Linked DNA regions of Canis lupus familiaris. The protein of the gene in region 1 interacts with the protein of each later gene in a biochemical or structural test. Links are inferred from orthologs where the notes say so. Each region holds a gene or a part of one and is shown on either strand. Other genes may lie near its edges.

What was found.
Region 2: the proteins of EHMT2 (region 1) and CBX1 form a complex in vitro, tested with the Homo sapiens proteins (2 studies listed by BioGRID). The link is inferred for Canis lupus familiaris from reciprocal best matches to the Homo sapiens genes EHMT2 and CBX1.
Region 3: of the proteins of EHMT2 (region 1) and LIG1, one has a biochemical effect on the other in vitro, tested with the Homo sapiens proteins (3 studies listed by BioGRID). The link is inferred for Canis lupus familiaris from reciprocal best matches to the Homo sapiens genes EHMT2 and LIG1.

The regions. Positions count from the first base shown.
Region 1 is NC_049233.1:1,478,091-1,487,763, forward strand, and holds the start of EHMT2 (histone-lysine N-methyltransferase EHMT2), read right to left. Parts: upstream 9,287-9,673; 5' UTR 9,272-9,286; coding exon 8,992-9,271; intron 8,897-8,991; coding exon 8,678-8,896; intron 8,579-8,677; coding exon 8,328-8,578; intron 7,413-8,327; coding exon 7,328-7,412; intron 7,231-7,327; coding exon 7,190-7,230; intron 7,070-7,189; coding exon 6,914-7,069; intron 4,872-6,913; coding exon 4,734-4,871; intron 4,604-4,733; coding exon 4,489-4,603; intron 4,331-4,488; coding exon 4,229-4,330; intron 3,999-4,228; coding exon 3,850-3,998; intron 3,753-3,849; coding exon 3,609-3,752; intron 3,530-3,608; coding exon 3,294-3,529; intron 3,216-3,293; coding exon 3,033-3,215; intron 2,936-3,032; coding exon 2,853-2,935; intron 2,476-2,852; coding exon 2,369-2,475; intron 2,268-2,368; coding exon 2,145-2,267; intron 2,058-2,144; coding exon 1,956-2,057; intron 1,112-1,955; coding exon 1,007-1,111; intron 904-1,006; coding exon 749-903; intron 661-748; and 3 more. UniProt on the Homo sapiens protein: Histone methyltransferase that specifically mono- and dimethylates 'Lys-9' of histone H3 (H3K9me1 and H3K9me2, respectively) in euchromatin.
Region 2 is NC_049230.1:24,330,900-24,341,054, forward strand, and holds the start of CBX1 (chromobox protein homolog 1), read right to left. Parts: upstream 4,872-10,155; 5' UTR 4,767-4,871; intron 3,936-4,766; exon of another isoform or gene 3,708-3,935; intron 3,695-3,707; exon of another isoform or gene 3,621-3,694; intron 1-3,620. UniProt on the Homo sapiens protein: Component of heterochromatin. Recognizes and binds histone H3 tails methylated at 'Lys-9', leading to epigenetic repression. Interaction with lamin B receptor (LBR) can contribute to the association of the heterochromatin with the inner nuclear membrane.
Region 3 is NC_049222.1:108,839,325-108,848,997, forward strand, and holds part of LIG1 (DNA ligase 1), read left to right. Parts: intron 1-1,552; coding exon 1,553-1,663; intron 1,664-2,450; coding exon 2,451-2,522; intron 2,523-4,361; coding exon 4,362-4,506; intron 4,507-4,648; coding exon 4,649-4,731; intron 4,732-5,999; coding exon 6,000-6,152; intron 6,153-8,355; coding exon 8,356-8,409; intron 8,410-8,953; coding exon 8,954-9,097; intron 9,098-9,673.

The DNA.
Region 1 (9,673 bases):
GATGTTCATGGTGGATGTCTCGCAGTTCTCTGAGATGTACTTGTAGTCCTCAGGGCAGGGTTCCCCGTCCACACCGTTGACACAGGGGATGGGCACGTTCTCATAGCCCCGAGCCACATCCCTGACACAAGGGGAATGGGGGCTGGGGTGAGGGGGTCCACAAGGTGCAAGGAGAGGCCTGAGAGGTCCCTGGGGCCGTGGGAGGAAGGGGGTGGTTCTGGGGGCTCACCGGGGTGGGGGGAGTAAGGTGGTCAAATAAACTAGAGGACAGCCCACGAAAACTGGATTTCAGATAAATAGTTTTTTTTTTTTTTTTTTTTTTACCATAGATAAGTCCCCAGTGCCATGTGGGATGCTCTTAACACTAAAAAAACATGCACTGGTCATCTGAAATCCTCCTTTAACGCTCTTTTAATTTACTGTATCTGACATCCTAGTTAGGGGTTGGCTCTGGGGATTCAGGGGAGCCTGGGGAGGGGACAGAGGGCTCACCGACAGATAATCTTCTCGGTGCGGATGGCCCGGTTCCCCACTCCAAGCCGAAGCTTGCGATTGAGCTGCAGCGCAAACCACACATCGGAGCGCTCGGGGGTCAGGTCCCACGCTGTGTCCCCCTCCTTGTTCCGCAGCTCCGGGTTCGCCCCACGTGACAGGAACAACCTGGGAGGGGACGGGAAGCCCGTGGGGCCTGGGGCCACGAGCCGAGCCGGCGGCAGGGTGTCAGGGTGCGGGGCAGGCAGGGGCTCACAGCACACAGTCGTGGTAGCTCTCCCGTGCTGCGATGTGCAGGGGCGTGTCCCCATGGTAGTTGACGGCGTGGAGGTCGCAGCGGGCGTTGAGGAGGACCTCAGCGATGGCCGCGCTCCCAGTGAAGGAAGCCCAGTGCAGGCAGATGTTTTCCTCCTGTGTGGGTGGGAGGGGTGAGGGTGGGTCTAAGCCGTGGGCGCCTGAACCCAGTCTCCTCTCTGCTCAGACCCCATCTCCCCTACCCCCACCAGACTCTCACATTGTCCGTGAGCGTGACGTCAGCACCCCGTGTCAGCAGCATGCGGATCACTTCGATGTGCTTGTGCTCTGCGGCCCAGATAATGGGCGTCCAGCCCCCACTGTCCTGTGGGTCGGGAGAGAGGGAGGAGGGTGAGGGGCTGCCGTCCCCTGCCCGGGGCCACCCAGCAGCTGGCCTAGCTTACCCAAGCAGTGCGTGGTCTAGAGCACAGGCCCTAGAGCTGGACTCGGAACAGGGGTCTCTGCTCCACCCCTCATGTGTTACAGGACCCTGGCTAAGTCTCTGAACGTCTCTAGGTCTCAGCTTCTTGATCTACCCCATGTGACTAATAGCGTCTACTGCTCAAAGTTGTGGAGTAATTTTTCTCTTTCCAAAAAGCACATATTTTTTAGGTCTTTCCACTCGAAAGTCCTAGGATATGGTAACCCAATAGCAATAACCACTGCTGAGGACACAGACCACGTCTCTAAAAAACATTTCCTGTTTAAAGGAACCAGAGTCCCTTAGAGAAATGGTAGATCAAGTCTGGGGCAGGAAATGTACTAAGAGGTAAGGATGCTCTTAGAAGTTGCTGGGTGGGACCAAAAGCCACAGGAGCCAGGCTCATGGGGTTCCTCCTGGACAAACCACAGGACAGTTCAAAGACTGAAAAATGACAGTAATGGGCTAAAACAGACCCAACATATGACACACTAAGAGGTAATAAGAAGCATCGCCACACATTCCTAGAGATTAAGGCAGCAACTGATCATTCCAAAAACATAGAAAGAAGCAAACAAGAAAAAAGTGGAAAAAAAAATACAAATGAAGAAAAGGCAAGAAATAGGGACAGACTGGAACAGAGTGATGGAAGTGTTGGAGATCAGCAGGGGCTGACAGGAGGCACAAAGGCCAGGGCTGAGCCAGGGGCCCGGAGGAAATTGGCTGGGCAGCCAGCCAGGCCACTCACCTGGGCGTTGACGTCCACCTGTCCTGTGCTGAGCAGCAGGCTGACCATCTCCAAGTTCCCGATTTTGGCTGCATGGTGGAGGCAGGTGGAGCCATCTTCCTCCTGAGGGAGATGTGGGCAGATGAGTCCCTTGCTGGCACCTCAAACCCTGTTTCTGACCCGAGGTCCCAGCTGGCCCGGTCACCACACCTTGCTGTAGACACAGCCGCCACGCTGCACCATGTAGCGAGCTACCTCCAAGTGGTTGTTCACTACAGCCTCCATTAGCGGGGTCCGCTGCTGCTTGTCTACTGCATTGATGTTGGCTCCAGCCTGTAAGGAGGGGGCATGTGGGCTGGCATCACAGAAGGGCTGGGCAAGAGAGGGGGCGCAAGGGCCTGGTCCACGAGACAGAGGGCCTGGTCCGAGCTGACCTGCAGTAGCACGTGACAGATCTCAACAGAGCCCTTCTGGGCGGCCGCGTGCAGGGGCGTGCGCTTGCTCTGCTGATCGCTCTGGAAGTTGGGGTCCAGGTTGTCCACTGTGGGGAGAGCCCGCCATACCGGAAGAAGGAGGGACAAGTGGTAAGTGACTAAGGGGCAGGTAGGACCTCCTCTAGGAAGGCTATGTGGGGTGGGGGGCCCTCTGGGCAACGCAGTTAACCTCTCTGGGCTTCCACTGGCAGGGCTGGTGTGAGTGGATGTGTATAAACACAGCACCTACGTGTTTGTCGTCACCACTGTCCCCATCATCCTGGGTTATCTGTGAGTATGTCTCCCCCTCCACGCTCCGTGTTTCGGGGCAAGGATGATGACCTTCACTGTTGTACCCCCAGCCCTGGGCCCGGGGTCTGGCATGTATGGTCTGGTGTTCCATCAAGGTCTGCAGAATGAATGAATGAATGAGTGGAATACTCACACAGCATCAGGATCACCTTCTGTAGCTCCCCCTGTTTCACTGACAGGTACAGCTGTCGGGGGTGGAAACGGAGTTTCTTCCGCCTGCCATGGTGAGGGAGAGGGGTAGGTGTCTCAGAAAGGGAACCCACCTTTCAGCCCCAGCCCTCATCGCCATGCCTGAGAGCCACCCCTCATTCACCTCTCTGACTCCTGGATGACCAGGGCCTTCTCCAGGGCCTCGCGGCCTGGACCCGGTGGCAGCCCCACGGCTGAGAGGCAGCCCCCATTGGGAAGGGTCAGGGAGGGCCCTGAGCTGTCGATGGTGTCGGCCAGAGGGTCGCAGGGTGGGCGCCGGGGCTCCCCATGCCCTCGCATCCGGGCACTGTGGGAGAAGGTGCTGATGTGTACCAGCAGTGGTGTTGGGCAGGGAACAGATAGTTGGGAATGGGAAGGCCAGTACCTGGGCTGGGAAGTGTCTGCTCTCCCAGGGGCATCCTGAGCCAGGGGTGGGGGGGCAGGGGCTGCAGTGCCAGCTGGTGGGGTCACCCCATCCCCCCGGGGGATGGTCACCTCCTGGGCCTCAGATGCATCCTCCCCACAGTGGGGACAGAAGACCATGCCATTCAGCTGGGACACACAGGCCTTGTGGAAGCGGTGGGCCACACGGAAGTCAGGGTGGCACTCCAGGAACGTGCCCTGGAAGACAAGGCATTCAGGCTCCGGGAGACCCCTCCCCCATGGGGCACGCAGCCTGTCTGCCCCACTGGTTACTCACCGCTGTACAGAAGTAGCCACAGCCGGGGCAGCAGTGGTGTTTGACCATGCGGGCACGGTGGGTCTCACAGAGCACCATCAGTGCCACGCGGCTTGATGGCCTCATCGTCTCCCGTTTGAGGATGGCAGCATTGCAGCCCGACAGCTGTGGCAGTGTGAACGGGCAGGAAGAGGGTGAGGCTGGGGCCTGGGGCTGGGTCCCCCCCACTGCCGGCACCTCTCCTATCAGCTCACAGGCCCACCTCTCCATCCACACTCTCTGTGGCCATGCACTTGTGCCCAGCTCTCTCGCTGATGCGGTCAATCTTGGGAGCCTCCATGCGGCAGCTGCAGAGGGGCAACTCCTCAAACCCCCGTTCCGTCTCTAGTGAAGACGTGTCATTGGATATCCCTTGGACGGAGGGAAAAGGGCGCTGAGCGAGGCCATCCCCATCACCCATGGGGACCCCTGGTGGGGCCTCTCACCCCCGCCCTGCTTTTCCCTCATGCTCTAGAACCCCTAAAGCCTGGCCATGGAAGGACAGACACCTGGGCTCCAGTGGGATCCTCCTCCTCCTCCCGGTACCCCCCAGCCCAGAGGCTGCCCCCTAGTGGCTCGCCATCCCAGCAATTGGCAATTACCAGCGTGGTTGGGGGAGAGGGTCCCCTCGCTGGGCAGCTCCAGGGACCCCAGAGGGACCTCCATGTACTCACTAGGGCCTGAGGAGCCCACACCATTCACTCCTGACATAGAGACAGAGAGAGTGAGAGCACGAGCTCATAGGTGCCTGGACACGTGGGTACATGCGTGAGTACATGCGTGAGCGTGTGTTTGTGCACGCTCTCTGGGGGCTGGGAGAGGGGCTGGAGGAGCAGACCCAGAAGCTGAGGAGCCTCCTCACCTCGTGGCTCCTTGGCCCGGGGAGGCTCGCGCTTCCGCCGTTTCCTAGACGGCTTTACCCATGGGCTGTCCTTCCGCCACTTCTTCTTGGCTTTGCGCCGGCCACTGGAGCCACTCTGGGATGGAGGAAGAGTTAGAGAGCCTGGGCCCCAGCCCACGACCTCTCCTCCCCTCTGAGGACTCAGACCTCTGGCCCCAATCCCAGCGTCCCCCCTGCTCCACAGGATGCCCGCTGCGAGCCCTTACCCGGTCAGACTGATTGCCTGATTCCTCGTCTTCTTCTTCTTCTTCTTCCTCTTCCTCTTCCTCCTCCTCTTCTTCTTCCTCCTCCTCCTCTTCCTCTTCTTCCTCACTCAGTTGTTCAGCCAAAGCTTCAACCTCAGACTGGGAGAGAGGCAAGGCAGGGCTGGGGAGACAGCAACCTCCAGCCCATAGCCCTCTCTTGCAGGTAACTTGAGAAAGAGACAGGGAGGGACTTATCCAACCCCAAAGACTAAGGCAGTGAAGCTGGAGAAAGAGCTACTACTACTGTCCCAGGATGGCTCCCTGGAGGTGAGCATGGATGGGAAAAGGAAGTGAGCTGAATGTTAGACAGCTGTGAAGAACTCACAACAATGTGTGTGAATCTTGGGAACATATTAAGCAAAAAAAAAAAAAAAGTTCAGAAAACAAGCACATAGTTTAAGTCTTGAAGTTCACATGTAAGCAAAACTACCCATGGCCACTCCAAACACTAGATGGAAACCTAATGATAAACTTTATAACGAGGATGAGGTTGACATCCCATAAATTCTTTTTTAATATTTTATTTATTTATTCATGAGAGACACAGAGAGAGAGGCAGAGACATAGGCAGAAAGAGAAGCAGGCTCCATGCAGGGAGCCCGATGTGGGACTCGATCCTGGGACTCCAGGATCACACCCTGAGCCAAAGGCAGACGCTCAACCGCTGAGCCACCCAGGCGTCCCGACATCCCATAAATTCACTGACCAATCTCAAACATGACTAATAAAAAGACAAGATGTCCTGTGCCTCCCGATATGACACAACAGGAAGTATGCACACCAGCTATCAAATCCTCTCACCATTAAAAAAAATAAAAACCCCAAATCACCCGAAGCCGATCATGCTTCTAGATCTAGTTTACATGAAATATCGGGCAGAGAGGACATTTAGTCCTCACCCAATCAGTGAATTCCTAAACATGAGGAATTCTGTATCACAAGTGACCTGGTTTCTTCAACAGATAAATGGCAAAAAAAACTTTTTCAAAACCAAGGGCATCCATATCCAGAGAGACCTAAGGCAAATGTCAATCAAACGAATATATGGAGCCCATCTGACAAACAGTGGCACCTGGGTGGTTTAGCGGTTGAGCGGCTGCCTTCGGCTCAGGGCATGATCCTGGATCTGGGGATGGAGTCCCGCATGGGGCTCCCTGCATGGAGCCTGCTTCTCCCTCCGCCTGTGTCTCTGCCTCTCTCTCTGTGTCTCTCATAAATATATAAATAAAATCTTAGAAAAGAAAATCTGACAAACAAAAACCTGTTTACGAAACCACCAAGGCATATTATGAACCCTAGTAGCAAGGTGATGGTGTTAGGGAGTCACTGGTAGTCACCGGGAGTCACATTTTTCAGATTGCGAACAGTGAAGCAGTGATATCAAAGCATAGGAAGAGGTCTCACATTTAAAGATACAAATGGAAACATCTCCAGATAAAATGATGTGATGGCTACTTTAAAACAGTCAGGGAGGTGGGCCGGTTGGTGGAGGAAGAGCTGAATCAAGAGCCACTGTGTCCTGAAAATTGTGGGAGCAGGGTGAGGCTCCATGAGGGCTCACCATTTACTCTTTTGTGCATATCTGAAATTTTCCCTGACACGTTAAACAAAGTGCACGTCAGGAAGACCGCATTATGTCACATAGGTAAATACAAACATATGAGATAAAATCAAACTAAGAACAAAAGAATAAACAGACAAACCACAGATAAACAACAAAATGGGGGCAGCCGGGGTAGCTCAGCGATTTAGCGCCACCTTTGGCCCAGGGCATGATCCTGGAGATCTGGGATCGAGTCCACATTGGGCTCCTGCGTGGAGCCTGCTTCTCCCTCTACCTGTGTCTCTGCCTCTCTGTGTGTCTCTCTCACGAATAAATAAATTAAATCTTAAAAACAAAAAAAAAACCCAAAACCAAAATGGGATGCTAAACCCAAAGTCCAGGATGGTGGTTACCACAATGGAGAGGGGCGAGGGGCCGGGCTGGGGTGGAACACACAAAGGGAGGAAGTTACAGAGAGGATGGGAAGGTGAATTAGGGGGTGTCACAAGGTAAAAAGGAAAGAGAGACAAAGGGGGTGGGTGGGTGGGAAAGACTGGAGAGTGAGCCTTGGCAGAGAGGTAGGCTGGCTCCTTCTCACCTTGCTGTCAGAGTCCACACGCTCATCCACAGAGTAGGAGTCGTAGTAGAGGCTGAAGTCATCCCCCACCACTGTCTCCCACTCCTCCAGGGACCCTGGGTCCCCTTTCTCCATGGTCACTTCTCCTGAACCCCGTGCAGAACCCAACTCCTCCGACTAGGAAAAGATCAGAAAAATGGAAGCTGCTGGTACTTCCCTTCCCAACCATTTCCCTTGAGGGCAGGATGCAGCCCCCCCCAGGTGGAGAGGCCTTGTCTTCAGCCTCTCTAGGCTCACCAGGCCACCTCCAGAGTTCAGCTTCCTCCTTTTGGCCACATCTGGAAGGAGAGAGAGAAAGGAATAAGGCTGGTTCTTCGACCCTCCGGACAAGATTTATCAGGTGGCAGGTGGGTGGGGTGTGGGGGTGGCGCTGACCTGAGGTCATCTTCCCCAGCGAGTGCAAGTCATCACTCATGCGGAAATGCTGCACTTCAGGGGGCCGCTTCTCTGGGACAGGAGGCTAGTGGCAGAGAGGGAGCACACTTTAGGGTCAGGGAGCATTTGCATTCAGTCAAGGGTGAGCCACACCCTCAAAAATGTCACCTGAAGCTCCAGTAAGCCAGAATGTGGCAATCACAAGAAGTGCTGTCTCTCGAGAAGAAGGGTATGAGGCACATTCCACACCTAACACTCACCTTTTCACTCACCCGAAGGAGCGGGCCCTCTTTACCCATTTTACAGATGAGAAAATAGGTTTGTGCCTTGCCCAAAGCTACCTAAACCATACCCAAACCCCCAAAAACACTGTCACAAAGCTTCTGAAATTCTGGGGCTTTTTGTCCTTTCCCTCACCCTCCTTCCCTGTAGGGAGTCACAGTAAAATCCTTAGAAGCCCTTTGAAAAAGGAAGCAGGGGGAGTTTCAAAGGGAGGGAAAAAGCTCCCTTGGGGCTTGCTTTGAGGTAGAAAGCAAGTTAGAAGTTCCTTAGTCATTATCATAAGAATAATTGGGACAATTAACTACAACAGTAATCCTCTAACCTTTTTTTATTTTTAAAGATTTTACTTATTTATTCCTGAGAGACAAAAAGAGGCAGCAACAGAGGCAGAGAAGCAGGCTCCCTGATGTGGGACTAGATCCAGGATCATGACCCGAGCCAGATGCTTAAACCACTGAACCACCCAAGTGCCCCTCTAACCTTTTTTACAACTCCCCTCTCCCCAAGAATATAAACTTGTCTGTCTGTTCAGATCAAGCCCAGCCCAGAATCTGACACACAGTAGCCCCTAGGTAAGTATGGCGAGCCCTGAAGGGATGAGAAAAAGTCTGAAGCTAAACTGTAAAAAAAAAAAAAAAAAAAAAAAAAAAAAGTCCACAAGGGGTACACAGTGGGTTACCTGGGTCTCCCCACCTCCACCCCTCCCCCTCATTCTCACCTGCCCATTTCCTGGTTTGGACATGGTTTTTCTGGCTCGGTGGACCTTGGGCTGCCCCTCTGGGCTGGGTGTGGCTGCAGGGGGTTCAGGCCCCGCTGCTGCCCCCTGGGCTCCCGGCATACTCAGCAGCCGCATAGCCAAACTCTGGACTGAGGGGGGTGATTTTGCTGCGCCTGTCATTGACATCTTGGCGCGGCTGGGACAGGCACCCCCCTTGCTGGGGGAAGAGGGGAATGACTTTGTGGCATGGCCTGGAAGACAAATAGGCAGACAGAAACAAGGTAAGACGAGAGGTAATCAGAGGATACCCCCCCTCTGCCCCCCAGGCCCCTGACTCCCCAGCCTCTCACCCAGCAGGATTCGGCTCCCGTGGAGGTCCCCATCTCCCTCCAGATTCTCAGGTTCATCCCCAATGAGCGGTGTGGCTCCTAGGGGGGTGTCAGCCCCCTCATCACCCACGGTGACTGTGACAGAGGCTGGGGATGAGGGGCCAGCAGGCTCCAGGGAGTCAGGGCTGGACTTGGGCAGGGTCTCCTCACCACGAGGGGTGTCCCCCAAAGAGCCGTGAACTGTAAGGGGAAAGAAAAAGTTCAGGGCTAAGGTCTCGGGGAATCCTGTGTTGGGGGAGGTGAAGGTCCAGCTGGGCCTGTTCAGCCGCACTCACCTCTCTCAGAGGCTCCTCTGGGCTCCTTCTCCAGCACCAGCGCCCCCATCTCAGCAGGGGCCTCCCCCTGGCAGGGGACACAAGGTATAGGAGGGCTGGTCAGCCCGCTAGGAAGTTGGGGAGCCCAGGACGCCTGGGCTCTGGGAAGAGAGAGTAGGCTCCGGGGCCTACCTCTTCCTCGATGGGGGCCCCCCCGTCCGCGGCCTCGGCTGCCCTGGGGGGCCGCACGACCCCTCCCCCGGGCCCGCATCAGCCCCCTCCCTCTCGGCAGACCCCGCATCTCTGGGGCCTGGAAAAGAGGAGGGGGAGGGGGCGGGGCCTCTGCGCCCCGGCCCCGCCCCCTCCTCCCGGCTGCACGCGCCGCTCCCCCTTTGTCCCCCAGGCCGCGGGGACCCCGGGCACCAACCCCTCCAGCGCCCGCCGCTCCCCAGCCCGGCGGACGGCCCCTCGTGCCCCTCGCGCGCGCTCCTGGGGCCCCGGCTCCCGCTGCCCACTCGGGGGCAGCCGGCGGCTGCACGCGCGCCTCCGTGCCCACTCCCCCCACCTCCCACCCCCTGGTCCCCTCATCCGCCCCCGGTGCTGGCCCTCCGGATTGCTGTAGGTCTCGTCCGGGCCCCCCGGCCCCGTTGCACCCCCGGAGCATTGCACGGGCGCGCGCTTCCCCCGGGCGCGCGCGCGGGCA
Region 2 (10,155 bases), on another chromosome or scaffold:
TAGAACCTTGTATGGGCAGTTGGATGGATGTCTGACTCCAAAAATCAGGGAAAAGATGTCCAAAGCTGTCAGCGTTTTAGGGAATGATCAGTGAGGAATCTGATCAGCAAGCCCAAAATCGTAAATATGCAGTACACCTTTGCTGAAGCATTAGCAACTATGTACCAGTCATCAAAAGGCAGGTGAAGACATGTGTGATATATACTCAATGTGTAGTCTTCCTGACTCATGCTTCTAAACTGCTGTTAGTCTGTTTGTTAACCATGGCTGTTTGGGAGGCAAATGCTTTCCAGATGGAAAACTTTACTGAGTAGAAAACAAGAACTCATGCCACATACCCAGTAAGCAGGAGTTTCATTTTTAAAGGAATACCTGCTCCTGAATTTCAGGACCTAGGACTAGAATACTGATGTGTTAATAAAATGAGAATTTTATCTGAGATGTGTCCAGAAACTTGGCTAACTCCTTTCAGTATGCTCATGTGGATGAAACTATACACACAGCTTTCAGTTGAGAGGCCACAGGGATGGACAAATATTAGTAGGACACAGTGATAACCTGAAGCAAGTCTTTTAGTTTAAGACGAAATAAAAATGATTAGAAAGCTAGGCCAGAAGTATGGCTAAGTTGGAATTAAAAGCAGAGATCAAAGCATTCACAGATAACAAGACAAAACCAGATTATTGACACTAACCTTCATACCACAGTTCGGGTAGGCCCTCAACGTGTTAGCTATTATTAAAGAGAAAGGCACAATTTCACAGACAAATTAGGTAGCCCCTTCTTGGTCAGTAAACCATAAAAGCTAAAGGCAGGAATGAATTAATACAAGTTAGTCAATTCATATAACGACATGATCTGAATTTTGTTCATATTTGGGTAACTTCTCCAATTAACTTTGGACAGTCTATTCAATTTTTCAGTAGACACCACTATCTGGAAATACCATTTATTTAACCCTATACATAGAACCCAAAAGATTTTTCAAGATACTTTTATTTATTTATTTTTTTAAGATTTTATTTATTTATTCATGAGAGACACAGAGAGAGAGGCAGAGACACAGGCAGGGGGAGAAGCAGGCTCCATGCAGGGAGCCCGATGTGGGACTCGATCCCGGGACTCCAGGATCATGCCCCGAGCCAAAGGCAAACGCTCAACCCCTGAGCCACCCAGGTGTCCCTCAAGATACTTTTAAAACAAGATATTCAAACTATAGCTTGCTATTGAAACCCAGAACCTGGAGCCTCTCGTCTTTGCCTAAGGTATTTAAAATTGTTACTTGCACAATCTACAGACCAAGATGAGTATATTAAAAACTGAGGCTAGGACAAGCATGACAAGGACAACAGTTATACTCTACCCAATGTCATTGATCAAAGACAGGAAAACTAATTATTTAAGTGCATATTAACTCCTTCCGCTAGCACATGGAATTCTAAGAAAGGATCTAAAAGCCATATCCATTCATTCAACAATATGAATGACCTACCATGTGCCAGACATTTAGAAGAACAAGAGGTATAGCCCCATCTTATGTGAGTTCATATGCTAGCCATTAGCATTTTGTTCCAAAAACTCTTTGGGGAAATAACCCATGAAATGAAAATCAAGCCTAACGTACAATCTGGTGGTATCTGTTATACCACCAGAGATAGTACATAAAGAAGATGAGATTCTGAGGGAGAAACTACTAGAAAATGTCAAAAATGCATCAGTTCTCTTTTTTAAATGGCATGAACTCAAAAAGAAACATTCTTCTAGTCCTTAAAATGGGCACAGAATATAATGGTTGCTTTTTAACTTTATTTTTTTAAGTTTATTTTTAAGTAATCTCTACACTCAACATAGGGCTTGAACTCAGGACCCAGAGATTAAGAATAACATGCTCTTCTGACTGAGCCACCTAGGCACTTCAGTACAATGGTTGCTTCTTTTCAGATATTTGGTTAGAAAATTATCAGTATCCCGCAGTCAAAAACGCAGAAGGCTAGGGTATCCTTACTTGGTCCCTTTCAATCACGAAGCTAGAAGCAACAGGCTACACGCACTATTTACATCTTTAATGAAAAAACTTAGGCTACAGCAGCCAAAGAAGAATAACAGCACCAAAGGGAAAACTGGAAATGAATGAAGATCCTGAACCCCCGCTAAAGCTTTATTAAGGTGTGACCAGTTCCAAGTTCCAACGGGTTTCCCACTCAATCATACCACTTACAATATAAATGCCTGTAAGCACCTAGGGAGGAACACAGGCACTAATTTCCCAATTGTATTCATGTTTCCATTCCAAACTTTGGACCTTTTCAGAGCTATTCCAAACTGCCAACACGATTCTTAATACAACTGAGGAGGCGATCTTAACCCTGGCCAGAGTTTTCCAGTATCACTGATCTTTTTGTAAACTCCACCTCAATGGAGTTAAACCAATTCAAGTCTGCATATAAGGCCATCCATGAAAAACCTTCATCTGAAGCTTTGAAGAAGTACTGCTCATTCCCGTATTCAAATTTTGTAACAACAAAGAAAGGCTAGCTTAAAAAGAAAGAAAGAAAGAAAGAAAGAAAGAAAGAAAGAAGACAAAGCAAAGCAAAGCAAAGCAAAGCAAAGCAAGAAAATCATAAGAGCCTAGGAAACAAATCTCACGATCTCACTAACTCTTCTTCTTTGTCTCCCCATTTCCCACATCATCTTACATATCTCTCACTAACTTAATTCCTTAAGTATGAACCCATCTACACGTTTCTACAATACCACTGTCTTTTGCGACCAGTGACGATCCCAGATAAAAACGTATGTAACTGTGAATCCAAGCAAGCGCTGCACTTGGGATTTTTTTTTTTTTTTTAACTCCCCGAAGGAATCAAAAGAGCTGAGGCAGTAGAAAACCTGGAAAGGGGGAAGAAATCTGGGTTTTTTGTCCTTTCTTCACACATTATTCTTACAGCCTCCCCACTGTGTGAGGACCCATCAGGAATCAAAGGCGGCCGGTTTTCCCCTTTCAACTCCTCACAGAAACACTCTCGGGGCCTCCGCCCTACTTACTCTCTCAGCTCCTCCCTCTCCAGATCCAACTCGGCACGTAACTGCCCCTTCCTCTCCTAGCCCCCTCTTCAGTTTATCCAACAGGTCTCCTCCCCGAGTAGCACACCTTGGACTGCCCAGCCCCCTCGAAGATGTCCTCGAAGTTACTTGTCCTTAGCCCGGCGAGCGGCAATTCCGCTGGCAGCCCCGGCCGGACCCCAAATTCTCAGGTGGCATTCGAAGCCAAGGGTCTCGCAGCCGTCAGCCCTCCCCTCGCCGTGTCCAAACATCAAGGCTGCCCAGCCTGTCCCCTCCTCGCTGTACTCAAGTGTCTTCCCCCAATCCGGCAGCCCACCCAACCTACGTAGCATTGTCTCGGTCCACCCAGGCCCCGAGGAGCGACCCGCCAGGGCTCGGCCCACCCCGAATCGTCTCGATCTCCTGCTCAGAGTACGCCGCCCGCCCCGCCCTCTCCATCCTTTTCGCGCCCGGCGCCCGACCCCCTGCAGCCGGCGGAGGGCCCCGTGCGGGAAGGGCGCGGGACCGGGTGCGCTCCCCGTTCCCACCCTCCGCTGCAAGCCCGCGCGGCCCCTCACCCAGGGCTCCCGCCGCTGCCGCCGCCGCCGCCGCCGCCGCCGCCGCGCGCCTCCCCCCCGCGTCCCCGCCTCTAGCGGGCTCTTCACCTCAGAGCAGCGCCCAAGAGCCCGAGAGGAATCGGTGCCGCGCTAATGGCGCGTCGCGTCGGGCCGGCCGGGGGAGTGGCGCCCAGAAAAGCAACAAGCCGGTGGCCGCAGTCGAGCCCCTCACTGAAGCGGCGTACCGCAGGCCCCAGCCAACGGCCCTCCCCTCAGCCGAACAAAAGAGCCTCGCACTCGGCGCTGCCCGCCGCCCGCACCGCGCAGGCGCGGCGACCCTCCGCACAGCCGTATGGGATTCGGAGTCCCTCCCAGACTACAAGACCCGAAGTGCTGCGCGCGTCCTACGCCACCACGCGGAGTTGGCGAGGGGTTCGGGGAGTTTTAGTTTTTAAACTGCAAGCGCTGGAACGAGTGTAGTTTAGAATGCTGCAGCCTAGAGCATTAGAGCGTCTGGTTTCGCAAGTGACCCCCATGATGCTTGGTCCGAAAAATCAACCGTTTCTGGGCAGTAATTCACATCCTCGAAAGTTTTTAATCTGAATAGGTGTCTCACCAGAGTTTTGTTGACTTTCCAATAATCTCTGTAATCCTCAATTTCTGCCTCAAATTTGTGTAAGGCTCCTACTTCCCCTTGGGAGTCTTGCTTGCCTGACGCTTAGACTAGGTTAGGTTCCCCTGGTCGTTGTCATCGTGGCATCTTACCTTTTTCGAACTTACCTTTTTCGTTGGCTGTGCCAAGTGGAGAGCTTTAGTGCAGAGCCCGCTCATCCCCACCAGCACTCCTCACCCAGCCACCTCCCAAAACATGGAAAGAGGTGAAAACCACCTCTTGTTATTCTTCGAGACAAATGGTTTAGTTCTGATTTCAACTATATCGCTGTCCTCAAACCTATTCATACTGGAAATTCCGTCTCATGTCATTCCTCCACTTTATTGTCTTTAGTTGGTGTGTGCTGTTCCCTAAACTCCATAAAGGCAGAAATCTTGCCTCGTGTTGTTTACCACTCTATACCCAGTGCCCAGTATAGTCCCTGGCATACAGTTGTCAAGCAATAATTGTTGAATAAATGATTAAATGCATTAATGAAATGTTCATCTCCTTACCTAACGGAAAGTGGAGGTTATTAGCATTTTCTTCACATCAGATTTGTGAGTGTTTCTCTTTCTCTCTCCTTTACTCTTCTTTTTTTTTCTATCTGACCAGGAACTAAATAGAACTACCAGAACATGACTTTTTTTCTTTCTTATTTGAATATTCAAATAGCCTCCTAATCAGAGGTAAAGAAGAAAGCCAACCCAGTCTACTGTATTCCACGTCAGAGTATTTACGTTAACAGTTTTGCTGAGTCAGGCACTGTGCAGGGCTCTGGAGAATTGTGGTATAAGAAACCCAACCAAATAAAAGAGCCGTGAGAGCACAGAGAAGAGGACAATTCTTCCTGAGACATTTGGGTTTAATGTCCATGGAGAGTAAAAGTCCATCTACTCACTCCTTCCTAAAGTCTCCTATTTTGTTTTTATAACTGTAACGATGAGAAAATTAGTTCTAATAATATTAACTATTCCTTTTTTTTTTATTTATTTACGATAGTCACAGAGAGAGAGAGAGAGAGAGGCAGAGACACAGGCAGAGGGAGAAGCAGGCTCCATGCACCGGGAGCCCGACGTGGGATTCGATCCCGGGTCTCCAGGATCGCGCCCTGGGCCAAAGGCAGGCGCCAAACCGCTGCGCCACCCAGGGATCCCAATATTAACTATTCCTATTAATGCTTACCTCAGCACTAGGAATCCTGTTAAGGCCTTGATTTAAAAATGTATATATTTATTGGGACCCGGCCTGGAGCCTGCTTCTCCCTCCGCCTATGTCTCTGCCTCTCTCTTTGTGTGTGTGTGTCCCTCATGAATAAATAAAAATAAAATCTTTAAAAATATATATTTATTTCAGAAAGAGAGAAAGATCACATGCACAAGCAGGGGGAGTGGCAGAGGAAGAAGGAGAAGCAGACAACTTACTGAGGAGGAAGCCCCGAGCCATCTCTGTCTCAGGACTCTAGGATCATGACTTGAGCAGAAGGCAGACGCCTAACCGACTGAGCCACCCAGGCGCCCCTGTTAAGGCCCTGATTAGTGTTTTTTAATCCTAAACAATGCTGGAAGTGGGAATTACTATTTCCATTTTACAGAAAAGACTCAGGTTGTGTAATGTGACCAATGACCTTCAGCAAGAAGGTGGTAGAACTGAAGTCTGATGTTATCTCTAACTTCCAAACCATAATTCTGCCCACATGAAATGCTACCATACCTAATTCCTCATAGTGAGCTGAATTCTGCTTTCCCATGTTGAATACCATTTCCTCCTAATTCTGGGTGTGTGGTTGCACACAGTTGTGTTCTATAAACCTAATTCCCCTTTCATATATCCTTCTAGTATTGAAATTCAGCCCTTATGTTCCCCCAAGGTCTTCTCTCAGCTAAATGTCACAATTATCTTAAACCTACGTCATAGGAACACAGTTTCAGGTCTAGCACATATAGTTTGTTAGTAAATTCTGGGCTCTTTTTAAAAAGATTTTATTTATTTATTCATGAGAGACATAGAAGCAGAGACACAGGCAGAAGGAGAAGGAGGCTCCAGGCAGGGAGCCCGATGCTGACCGATCCTGATCCCTGGACCCTGGGACCACACCCTGAGCCAAAGGCAGATAGATGTCCAACCACTGAGCCACCCAGGAGTCCCAATTCTGGGCTCCTTATATGGGTATTTCAAGTAGAGGGAATCATTGCACAGATGCTTTACACCATTCTTGAATTACAGAAGTCAAAGTTCACCTTTTCTTTTCAGGTAGCAGAGCACCACTGGTTTATGCTAATCTGTAATCAACTCAGAGCTCTCTCTGTTAATAATTTATTCTGGAATTCTGTCAGGGATGAATGTCAAACTCTCAAGCCTAAAGTTCCTGCATACCAACATCTTTTTTGAAAATCTTTTAGGGGTAGTCCAGGAGGTTCAGCGGTTTAGCGCCGCCTTCAGCTCAGGGTGTGATCCTGGAGACCCAGGATCGAGTCCCACATCGAGTCCCACGTCGAGCTCCCTGCATGGAGCCTGCTTCTCTCTCTGCCTCTCTCTCTCTCTGTCTCTCATGAATAAATAAATAAAATATTTAAAAGAAAAAAAAAAAATATTTAAAAGAAAAAAATCTTTTAGGATCAAATGGGTTCAGTTCTTTTCTCTTCCCATGTTTTAAAACAAATTTATTAAACAATTTGAATGTAATCTAGATTTCTCGCTCAGTGCCCTATCTTGACCTTATTTTTTCAACGATGATTTCTAACACTTGATAATGGCGTCAATCTTTATCATACCTAAAATGCTTGTGCCTCTCTAGGCAGTTATCATTTTGCCTAGATGGTGCCATTTTAAGTTATTTAGGCCCTCAGAGTATCTTTACTACTTAGGGTAATGGCAGCTCAGTCAGAATCTTGCTCAAGACAAAATTTGAAGTCTACATTACTCATGTCCACAGGAAATGTGTCTCTCACATGAAGTTTCTAAAATCATAAGGAATGTGGGAAAGAGAGGAAGTTGGACACTGCAAAAAGGAACAAGGACTTGGAATCAGGCTGAACTGGATTCATTTGTCTCTACTTTTTGCCTTCTGTGTAACTTCAAACAAGCTCCTTAACCTCTCTGAGCTTCAACCAACATAAAAATCTGAAACATGGAAAGATTACTTAAGACCTGACTTGCAGCATTTCTGTGAGATGGATTGTAATGTATGAAGGCAATAACATATACTAGCACTTATAAACAGTAGCTATTTTAGGTACAGCAGATAGCTGCTTCTCATGTGATTTAAGGGGTGGGGGAAATACAGCACTTTTGAAATATTTTCTTCCCTGCTGTCTGAAATTCTTTGTTTCATTTCCCATTCCCCCCCAATTTTTAAAATGATGGTAAAATCTGCATAACAAAATTTACCATCTGAACCATTTTAAGTGTACGGTTTAGTGGAATTAAATGCATTCTAATGTTGTGCAACCATCACATCCATCTCTAGAATTCTTTTTATCTTGTAAAACTGAAACTCTATACCCATTAAACAAAAATTCTCCATTCCTCCTCCCCCTAGCCTCTGTCAGTTGTCTTTGCACTTTCTAAGATTTGGACTATCTAAGAATCTTATATAAGTGGGGTCACATAGTATTTGTCTTTTTGTGACTAGCTCATTTCATGTAGTATAATGTTTGCAAGATTCATGCATTGCGGCATGTATCAGAATTTCCTTTTTTTTTTTTTTTTTGAGGCTGAAGAATATCCCATTGTACATATACACAGCGTTTTGCTTATCCATTCATCCACTGTTGGACCTTTGGGTTGCTTCTACATTTTAGCTATTATAAATAATGCTGCTCTGAACATGGGTGTACAAATATCTTTTTGAGACCCTGCTTTCAATTCTTCTGGGTGTTAAAAGACAAAATCCAACTAAGTAAATTTAAAGATTAAATTGGCTTCATTCAATCATTCATGAATTGGGCAGCATCCCATCTAGCAAATAGAAAGGAGCTCTAAAGAGCATACAAAATGGAAGGATTTAAAAAACAAAAACAAAAACAAAAACAAACAAACAAACAAAACCAAAATGGAAGGATTTTTTTTTTTAACCTCTACACCCAACATGGGGCTTGAATTCAAGAGTTGCATGCTCTACTGCCTAAAAATGGAAGGTTTTTAGAGACAGAAGGGGACAGGGACAAGAAAAATTGGATTATCTTTCTTTGGGAGTTGGAAGGGGTCTTTCAGGTAGATTATCCCACTAGTGCTGATAAGGTTACCTCACTAGACTGACCAGTTAAAATTACATTCCTGGGAGGGGCTGAAACAGCAATTAGTTTAGATTTTTAAGTCTTGGTTTGCTGACATGGGTTTAGCACTAGTGACTCCATGTTGGTTCCATTTTTCATTTAGCAGTTCTTCATTTTTTAAAATGATTTTATTTATTTATTCATGAGAGACACACACACAGAGAGAGAGAGAGAGAGAGAGAGAGGCAGAGACCTAGGCAGAGGTAGAAGCAGGCTCCATGTAGGGAGCCTGATGTGGGACTTGATCCTGGGACTCTGGGATCACACCCTGAGGCAAAGGCAGATGCTCAGCACTCAAAGCCACCCAGGCGTCCCTGTTTAACAGTTCTTCAATTCCAGAAGTAGAATTGCTGGATCATATGTTAGTTCCATTTTTAATTTTTGAGGAACTGCCAAACTATATTACACAGCGGCTGTACTATTTTACATTCCCTCCAACCGTGAGCAGAGTTCCAATTGCTCTACATCCCCACAATACTTGTTTTTTGTTTCTTTGACAGTAGTTCTTTCCTAATGGGTGTGAGATTCTTTGTCTCATTTTGACTACTACTTGACATTCTATTGATAAAGATTTATTCATTTGGGATTGACAAGCCCTCTCTTTTAAAAGGCAAATATACTTAAGAGGTATCTTTCTTACCTCCCCCATCAGTTTGATTCTCACATGACTTCCTGGTAGTTATGGGACTGTAAAAACTACACTTCTCAAATCATGCACCTATAGCCCTGGCGTTGATTGATTTTCTCATGCAAAATGATAACTGCCTAGAGAGGTACTAGCATTTTAGGTATGATAAAGATTGAAGCCATTATCAAATTTAGAAATCATTGTTGAAAAAATAAGGTCAAGATAGGGCACTGAGTGAGAAATTTAGATTACATTCAAATTGTTTAATAAATTTATTTAAAAACATTTGTTGAGAGGGTGCCTGTGTGGCTCCAACGGTTAAGCATCTGACTCTTGACTTTGGCTCAGGTCATGATCTGAGTCCTGAGATCAAGCCCCATTGTGTGGCTCTGCGCTGAGCGTGGAGCCTGCTTGAGATTCCGTATCTCCCTCTGCCTTCCTCCCTCCAGTCTGTACCTGTGCTCTCTCTTTCTCTCTCTCTCTCTCAAAACAAAACAAAACAAAACAAAACAAAACACACAACCCCCCCCCCCGCCAGAAAACCAAAACCAAAAAACGTACTGAATAATGTGTGAGGCAATGATGCTAAGCCCTTATATTATTTATAATATAAACTCCAGGAGGTCGTGGTGTTTTCCTGTTTGGCTCACAAATTTATTCATAATACCTAAAGCAGTACCCAGACCCATAGAAAGGGCTCAAGGAATATTGCTCTAGTGAGCATTTGCAGATATATTCTTTGGTTCTCCACATGTAGCCTACAGACTCTGGGAGTACCTGAGAGAGAGTTTCAGGGAGTCTGTAAGATCAAAACTATTTTTATGATAATATTAAGACACGATTTGCTCTTTTTCACTGTGTTTACATTTCACTGATGATGCAAAGGTAATGGGGGTAAAATTGCTGGCACCTTAGTATGAATCAAGGCAGCGCAGCATCAACTGGTGCTAGAGTCATTGTCTTCTTCCCTACCACACCTATGCAATAAAATAATTAAGA
Region 3 (9,673 bases), on another chromosome or scaffold:
GCAGAGGCTGAAAAAGCCAGAATGTCACACTGACAAGGAGAGGCAGTGGGGACGTAGGTGCAGGGAGCCAGCCTGCAGATCAGCTCTGCCATTGGAATAGGGACGGCTTCTTTGCTCTTGGGCGTCTTGGGCCTGCTCTGGGAGCCCTTGGTCAAACAGCCCTTCTTGCCTGATCCTAGTTAATTAGGAAGTTGGCACTTTCCCAGAGCAGCATTAGCATTAGCTGAGCTTTCCCAGAGCATAGGCATTAGCTGAGCTCTTGTTAGCTGCCAGGTGCTAGCGTTTCCAATAAGTTTTACTAGATGTAATTTCTCTGTAGAGTTCTGATTTTAGTGTACATGGTTTGGTGAGTTTTGGTAAGTTTATATACACTTGTGTAAACAAAACATTTTGATGTATCACCTAAATTGTTCCCTTGTGTCCCATGCCAAGCGGTACCCCCCCCCCTCCCCATAAGCTCCCAGAGGCAATGAGCATCGATACACCGTTTTGTCTCTACAAGTGGTGTGGCCTATTCCAGGGCTTCTTGTGAGCGGTATCCTACAGTTTGGGGTCTTTTGCCTCTGTCCACTTTTGTTTATTCATTTAGCGCATATTTACTGGGCACCTGCTCTGTGCTGAGCCCTGCACAGAAGGCTGGGGACATAGCATGGACAGGCTACACCCAGCTCAGGCCTGGCAGGGCCAGCAGATCTTCATCGGAGCGTCCCACTGCTGGCTCTCTAGTTATACAGGGACACGGGGGCTCTGAAGGAAAGACCACCATTCTGTGAGCCTCTGTATCTGTAAGAGATTTGACCTAGGCCCGGTGTCAGCAAGGCAAACCACCTACCACATATTGCCCCAGGATATAGAATGAATGGTGCCACCTAGAGTTGTGCAGTAGCATTCCTTTGAGGGAAAAGAAGTCCTCCCAATGGAGGTGAAGGATAATGACAGATGTTCTAGAGTGATTAGGAAGTGCAAAGGCTCTGTGGTTGGAGGGGCATAGCCCATTCACAAAACAGGCTAGCGTACTGGGGTGCAGAGTCTGAGGGGACCAGGTGAGGTGAGGGTGGGCCAGGGGCCGACTGAGGAGAGCCCCCACAGCTTTGGGAAGCCAGGTATGGCTTTTAGCAGGGATGCACTGATCAGATTTGAGGTTTGCTGAGGGCACCCTAACTGCTGTGAGGAGAGTAGTTTATATGTGGAGGCCATACAGGAATAGAGTGGACTGCTAGGATGATGTGACGTGGGCTGGACTGGGCTCAATGAGGTGGTATTCTGTAGGTGACTTAGAGATTTCAGAGGGGAAGTGGACAAGTTCACGGGGAACTGACAAAGGTCACTGGGTTTCCAGCTTATGGGACCAAGTAGTAAGTCTCAGAAAAGTTCATTTCCCCCCACTTACAGGGAATGAGAAGAGGGTCTGTGTACACATGTACATCTTTGAATTGACATCAGTTTTTTTGTGAATCTTGAGAAGGAAGAGCTGTAGAAGGAAAAGGACCTGTTTCTCTGGGCCTCATCCCCTACCTCTCAGCAGCCCTGGGTCTCCTTCTTCACTTTTCAGATTAAACTCCCGTCAGTCACGTCTTTCATTCTGGACACAGAAGCTGTGGCATGGGACCGAGAAAAGAAGCAGATCCAGCCATTCCAAGTGCTCACCACCCGCAAACGCAAGGTAGTCTCAGTCTCCCTCCACTACCTGCCGTGGTCACACAGTTTCTCCTCTTCCTCCTAGCCCTGCCCCACCCCAGAAGGACAGAGTGTTCCTCGGGATATGGTTCTTGCTGCCTTACAATGTGGCTGCCACAGCTCCAGCCATTGCATTCTCATCCCAGCATACCAAGTACAAAGGAGGAAAGAGCCTTTCTCCTATCTCTGTTTTTTTATTTTATTTTATTTTATTTTATTTTATTTTATTTTATTTTATTTTATTTTATTTTATTTTATTTTAATTTATTTTATTTTATTATTTTATTAATTCATTCATGAGAGGCAGAGACACAGGCAGAGGGAGAAACAGGCTCCATGCAGGGAGCCCGACATGGGACTCAATCCCGGGTCTCCCAAGATCATGCCCTGGGCTGAAGGCAGCGCTAAACCGCTGAGCCACCAGGGCTGCCCCTGTCTCTGTTTTATTATGAAAGATCTGTGCCAGGATCCCCACCCCCCCCACAACCTGTGCCCCACCAAACTTCTTTACCTTCATTGGCCATTAGCTGCAAGGGAGGTTGGGAGAGCAAATATTTGACAAAGGGATTGAGTTTGTTGGGATTAGCTGAGAGCCATCAGGTTGCAGACCCAGGAGCCAGTAGCATTGTCACTCTCACGGGTGTGTGGACTATTGCCTGGAGAGAAGGGGAGAGTGGTAGTGACAGGTGTCTGCCTGGGGCATGACGGGAGGCAAACCGACCGTGCCCCTGTCATCATTCCCCACCCCTGCTCCCCGTTCTGCCCCAACCCAGGAGGTGGATGCAGCAGAGATCCAGGTGCAGGTGTGTCTATATGCCTTCGACCTCATTTATCTCAATGGAGAGGTGAGTTCTGGCTGCATGTCTGGGGGTAGCCGGGGGGAGGTGGGGGCTGTGTATGAGCTTAGGAGCCGACCTTCTGAGTGGCCACACTGGGCAGTGATTCTCAGGGACCCCGGAGGGTCTCCAGGACACTCTCGGGGAAGTCTGTGAGGTCCTGCCTGCCCTTCCCAGCTCCGCAGCCATATGAGGCAGATTCTCTTCCTGTATGGCAGCCAGAGCAACACATTGCCGCTGTCTGAATGCAGACACACATGTGAGCGTCCAGCTCCATTAAAGCCAGACATTATAGAATCTGTAAAAGTATAAAGTAATGCCCCCTCTTCTCACTTTTTCTAACATAGGCACATTTCATAAATGACATATTATTGGGTTAATGTGTTGGAGTTATTATTTTTAAATGAATTGATAAACGTCAAGATTTCTCAGTTCTAACATAGCAAATGTTAACATGTGATATGATAGCTAATACTACGTCACTACTATGGTAAATATCCAGAGATGTAAGCCACGTACATAGAAGCTCTCTGGAGTGAGTCCTCAGCAGATTTCACGGGTGGGAGGGGGTCCTGAGACTGCAAAGTTTGAGAACTGCTGCTCCAGGGCATGGGTTAAGGATCTGGAGCCAGGCCACCTGCTTTGATATCCCAGCTCTCCCTTCCTGGTTGTGTGGCCGCAGATAAGTGACAGCCTCTCAGAGTCTCAAGTTTCCTTGTCCATGATAAAGAGCTGACAGTAGCACCCGCTGTACTTGTTATGGGGCAGATGAAGCGATGGGACCTGGGCATGAGCACAGTGGCTGGCTACATACGAGTGTTTATCCTCTAGAATGAGTTGCCAACACCGCCATCATCTTAGATAACTAACCTTTAACGATCTGGCAGCTGAATGGCCACCGCTTGCACTTGACTAATGAAATCAGGGTGATTTCTAATGGGCTGTGCCTGCCCATCAGGAGCATGGATGGAAGTGAAAGGGTGTGGTTAATTCAATCAAAGCTAATAAGATCGCAGAGAGTAGATTAACTTCCGGAAGGTGGGTAAGTCTGTTTCATAGTATAAGGCAAGCAGCACTTTCCCACGAATAGATTTGCTCTAACTCGGGGCTCAGTAGAGCAGGGCCTGCAGGCCGAATCTGTCTCGGCCTTTCTCATCTGTAAGGGAGGCTTTATTGGAACGCAGCCGCATGCCCATACACTTCTGCCCTACAGCCCACAGCTGAGCGGTTGTCACAAAGCCCCAGTAGCCCACAGAGCTCAGAGTATTGACTCTGGTTCTTCGTGCAACAAGGTTGCTGACCCCTGGATTAAAGTGGAAAGCATCCTCTCAGAAACACGTTTATCTCCTATCCGTGTGGTCATCGGCGCCTTTCACCTTTATTCAACCCGTGTTGTAAATGGAACTGTAGCCACAATAACGAGTCCATTCCAGCTCCATAAGGACTGTGGCCCTGTCTTATGCACCTGAGGTCACAGGACTGACCGGTCTCCAGCCCCCTAGCTGCCCTTTTTTTTTTTTTTAAGATTTTATTTATTTATTTGAGACAGAAAGAGGGTACAAGCATGGGGAGAAAGAGAAAGCAGGCACTCTGCTGAGCAGGGAGCCCCATGTGGAGCTTGATCCCAGGACCCTGAGCTCATGATCTGAGTCGACACTGAACCAACTAAGCCACCCCGGTGCCCCTCCCCTTGCTGCCTTTGACTTGCCCTTGAAATGGGTCCTCGAAGTTCTCAAAATCCTCGTGTGGGCCTGGTTCATCCCTGTCGGGGGCCTTCCTATCTCGTGGGAGCCCAGGCTTCTCTTTACCTCCACAGTGACACCCTCTCTCTTTTCCTGCCCTATGCAGTCCCTGGTACGTGAGCCTCTTTCCCGACGCCGGCAGCTGCTCCGGGAGAACTTTGTGGAGACGGAGGGCGAGTTTGTGTTCGCCACCTCCCTGGACACCAAGGACACGGACCAAATTGCCGAGTTCTTAGAGCAGTCTGTGAAAGGTATGGGGGCCTGGGGCAAGCTGCCATGTGTACTCCCTCTTGGCTGCCCCGCCCCGAGTGATTTCACTTGAAGCTGCTGGCTCCGGCTGGCTGGCTGTCATGAGCTGGGCTTCACAGAGGTCACTCTTTATGTCTCCCTCAGACTCCTGTGAGGGGCTGATGGTGAAAACTCTGGACGTTGATGCCACCTATGAGATCGCCAAGAGATCCCACAACTGGCTCAAGGTGCCCTTCCCAAATCTGGCCATCTTTCCATCTGGTTCCCAGTCCTCACTCCACCCTGTTTAAGTGTGGGAGCCTTTTCTCGGTCCCTGATGCCTCCCTGTCCAGCCAGCCACAGACCACCCCTCCACAAATCCTTGCTGCTGGACTCACCAAGAATCAGTTAGAACTGCCCCGGCCTGAGTGCCATGGAAGTTAGATGAGGTTTCTATTCTAAGTTCATAGCCCCTCTCTGTTGGGTGGGGCCGATGGGAAGGGAGGGAGTCAGTCAGGACATAAATGAGATGACATTGGGGGCGATGAGCATTGTGGAGAAAGCAAGTCAAGTCAGGGGCCAGTGAGGATCTTGCAGTGCTCTGGTCATCGGGAAAGGCCTTTCCAGAGTTGACTCTTGCGTTGAGGCACAGATGACAGGAGAGAGTCAGGCACATGGAGATCTGGGACAGAGTGTCTAGGAGAAGGGTGGGGGCAACAATTGCAAGGGCCCTGAGGTAGGAATGAAGCTCCGTGTGTGCAGGGAGCAAGGTGATTAGGGTGTGAGTCGAGGTCAGGGTGGAGGGCAGGCCTCGGATGACACAGCCCCTTGGGGGTCGTTAAATACCCTGGGTTTTCCTCTGAGGGTTTTGAGAAACCAATGGAGGTTTGAGACAGGAAGTCCTGTGGTCTGGTTGTCATTTGGCATGAGACATCTGGCTGGCTGAGGATGGTGGATGGTTGGGGAGGGTGCTGGGCAGACTGGGAACCCTTGGGCAGGAGGCTAGCCTGGAGAGGGGCGAGAGGACTGCAGCAGGAGATGAGCCGGAGTGGAGCCAGAAGGATTTCCCCGGTATGTTTGAGGGGCCTGTGGTCTGTCCCCCTGAGACTGTCAGCAGCTGGGAGGGTATGAGCGTTCCTGTCTTAGGACATTTTCCCTGCTACATACCCCAGGCTGAACTCCTGCCTGGCACTTTCTGGAACAAGTGATAAGTGTTTTCCATGTAAAGGAGTAAGTGGAATGTACATCTATCCCAAGGGAAAGGGGGACCCCCAGGGTCTCCATCTGACTTGTCCCCTCAGCCTCGCCAGCTCCTTCCCCTTCGCTCGTCTCTTTCCTATTTGTTCTGGAAGTCTAGGAGCTCCTCCCACATCCCACCTCAGCCTGGTGATGGTCCTCGGTCTCTACAAGAGCGCTCTCCTTTGGCTCACCCCGATGACCCCTGCTCCAGCATCAAGGAGCCTCCAGCAGTGAGGTCTGTCTCAGTGCCCCCTCACCTCTGGCCTTCCCTCCCTAGCTGAAGAAGGACTACCTCGATGGTGTGGGCGACACCCTGGACCTCGTGGTGATTGGCGCCTACCTGGGCCGTGGCAAACGGGCTGGCCGCTATGGGGGCTTCCTACTGGCTGCCTACGACGAGGAGAGTGAGGAGCTCCAGGCCATATGCAAGGTGCTGTGAGGCAGGAGTAGATTCGACTCCACCTTGGGGGGAGGGGTGCCTGAACCAAGAGGCTCTCGTGTTCTTCCTATGAAGGATTAAGTTTTTTTCTAGTTTTTATTTGCTTTTTCTGATCCTATAAGTAACTCTTGCCTTACATAGAAGTATGTGCTATTATAAAAAGATGTAAAGAAGTTGTGCCAGTTAAGAATTGAGTTTTGCTACAGATGATGACATAAAGGGATTTATTTTTCTCTCATATAATGAGAAGTCTGGAGAGGAGCAGGCGGCTCTCTGATGACATTAGGGGCCTAGGCTTCTGTCCCCGCACAGGGGTTTTGTCATGTGCTTCTGACCTCATCTTCATAATGTGGCTGCAGGGCCTCCAGCCATCACAGCCATGCACGCTCCAAACAGCAGGAAAGAGGAAGGCCGCAAGCAGAGGGATGTGCCCCCTACATTAGCCTCAGCCAACGAACAGCTTCTGTGACATGGGTTGGAATTTTGCTCCACGGCCCACCTCCCTCCACAGGGGAGCTTAGGAAATGGAGTGGGTTTTGTTTTTGTTTAAAGCTATGCACATTGGTGATCCAACAAATGTGAGGCTTTTGCCACAGAAACAGAATAAACTGTTACCCATTATTCCAGTGCCCAGAGGTAACCACTCATAAAATTTGAGGGAATGTCTTATTTATACTTTTACAAAGCTGTGATCTTTGTATATAAGGGATTTTTTTCTCCTATAAATAATGTTTTTTTAAGATTTTATTTTTTCATGAGAGACACAGAGAGAGAGGCAGAGACACAGGCAGAGGGAGAAACAGGCTCCATGCAGGGAGCCCGACATGGGACTTGATCCCAGGACCCTGGGATCACGACCTGAGCCAAAGGCAGATGCTCAACCACTGAGCCACCCAGGTGTCCCCTAAATCCCATGTTTTAAATACTGTCAGATACATATAAGTAACATGGTGATAAAAAACGTTAGAGTGTTTGCCCTCATCTTCAGGACTTTTAGAAGCACGAATGTGTTAAACTTAAAAATAAAATAGTCTGTTATTTTACCAGCAAAAATGGGTTTGTTCAGAAATAGCATAGAATTGTATTTTGGGACATACAAGCCTTGGCGAAACCGTAGGCTCCTCCTGCAAAGGAAAATAATGGTATTTTATGGGAAGAAGGAGGAAGTGAGAAGAGTTGTTTTGAATGAAAGTCTTGGGGGAAAAAAGCAGCTCAGAGGGATGAGGGTTTCTCAGGGGCTGAGTTGCTGTGTTGGTCCCGTTCTCAGATCAAAGTCTTGTCTTTCCCCGGGGGGCCCTGTCATGGATGGTTCTTTCCTATTGGTGGATTCTTCTGTTGGAGCCTATCACCGAATGTTGGCTTAGGCTCTGTAAGCGACAATCCCTCCTGTAACCGAAAGTTAGGGGGACCCTCTCTACTGGCCTCTGCCTCTGTTTTAGCGAGGTTGCCCAGAATTTTTCACAGTTGTTTGTGGAAGATGTGCTCTGTTTCCTGAACCAGCTCCCTGTGCTCGTGGCCTGCTGTGTTCTTGAGAGTAAATCAGCACTGCACACGATGCTTAGCCCAGGTGACCCGTGACAGACATGGTCTTAACAATTCGCAGAGATCATAGGGCACCGGTCCGGGGTCATTTTACACTATTTACCCAGAACGGTTTTCTGTGAAACAGCTTCTGCCGGAGAAGATATTTAAGGCTCTCCATTCAGAAAGGGCTTTCCGGTTGATGTTTATATCCGTGGTTTGAAGATATGCATCTTACTACGTTTGCTGGCAGCGAGGTTTTTTTAGGCTTGACGATTTGGGTGGGTGAAGGAAAATCTCTGGCATGTGGAGTTTGGAGAGGACATCCTGTTCCAGAGTAGGTGGGACTCAGGGGAGCCCAAGGGAGCGACACCTGGGCCAGGGGGATGGAGCGGAAAGAGCAAGGGCTTCTACGTCAAGCACAGGGCAGCACGTGGGCCAGGGGATGCCCCTGGGAGAGGTGTTACCCCACCCGGGGTCTGCGCCCAGCAACCCTCCCTCTGCCCAGCCCTTCCTCTGTGGTTTCTGTGGCCAGGGTAGGATGGGGGCCTCTGGTATGCACAAATCTGAGTCCTCAGTGGAAGGAGCAGGGGTCGGGGTGGGGGGGGACGCAAGTGGGGAATACTCAGCCACTGGTTGCACCTCTGACCTGCCCTCCCTGTCCTCCCCGCAGCTCGGAACTGGCTTCAGTGATGAGGAACTGGAGGAGCACTACCAGAGGCTCCAGGTGAGCAGCCTGCCTCTCCACCTCTCGTGGCACACTCTGTGGTGGTGGAGCTGGCTCCAGAGCCCCCCGTGTCCAGAGTTCAAGTCTCAGCTCTGCTGGCTGCTACAGTGCCCAGGACTTGGGTCAGGGAGCCTGCCTCCTGCCTCTGCTGCTGGGGGATGCGTCTCAGGGGAGCACTATCGCAGGGGTCCCTGAGTTGGCCCTGAGTGAATCCCCTAGTAATTGGGAGTGTTGCATGGTCACGGGTATTTGGGGGTACGACTCCCTTCCCTGTGTGCCGGTACTTCTGTCTCTGTGACATTCTTTGGTTCTCTCTCTCTCTCTCTCTCTCCAGGTCTCTGTCTCATTTCTTCCTTTCACCATTGCCCTCATCCCCACCCAAGCTCTTACCTTAAGACATGTCTATGTTGCCATCTATCCCCTTCCCCATTTTCTTCCCTCTCTCCTCCCTCCCTGACGCCCCAACCCCCAGCCTTGACTTTGAGACCTAAGACCCTCTCTCTTCTTCATGTCCACTGCTGTTCCCCGATGCTGTTCTCTGCAGGCCCTGGTGCTGCCCACCCCACGCTCCTATGTCCGGGTCGACGGTGCCGTGGCCCCCGATCACTGGCTGGACCCCAGTGCCGTGTGGGAGGTGAAGTGTGCGGATCTGTCCTTGTCGCCCATCTACCCTGCTGCCCGGGGCCTGGTGAGTAGGCTGGGCAGGGGTAGAGGAAAGGGGAACACCTCAGGCTCCAGGCAGCAGGAGGGACCCAGGGTCGACCTTCCAGATGGGAAATGAGGAGCAGGGGCTCGTGAGGGTGACACCTGTGCTCCGGGCTGATAGTAACTAGGAAAGCTTGAGCTTGCTTTTTATTTGGCTGTCAGATAACAGGGTCAGAGTCTCAATTAAAAAAAAAGAAAAGAAAAAAGAAATTCCCCAGGTACAAAAAGTAAACAAATTGTTTCCTTTAATACCCTAATCTCACATTTGGCTCTTCACTGATTTTTGAAAACACAGTTCCTCTGAGTAACAGTTTAGGACACTTCCTGCTGAGCAGTGATGCGGGCTGTGGCTCGTCTTTCTGAACCATAATTTGTTTTCATGCTACCACATTTTAAAATTCCCTGGGCTGGGATGCCTGGCTGGCTCAGCAGTTTAGCACCTGCCTTAGGCCCAGGGTGTGATCCTGGAGTCCCAAGATCGAGTGCCACATCAGGCTCCCTGCATGGAGCCTGCTTCTCCCTCTGCCTGTGTCTGCCCCCACCCCTCATGAATAAATAA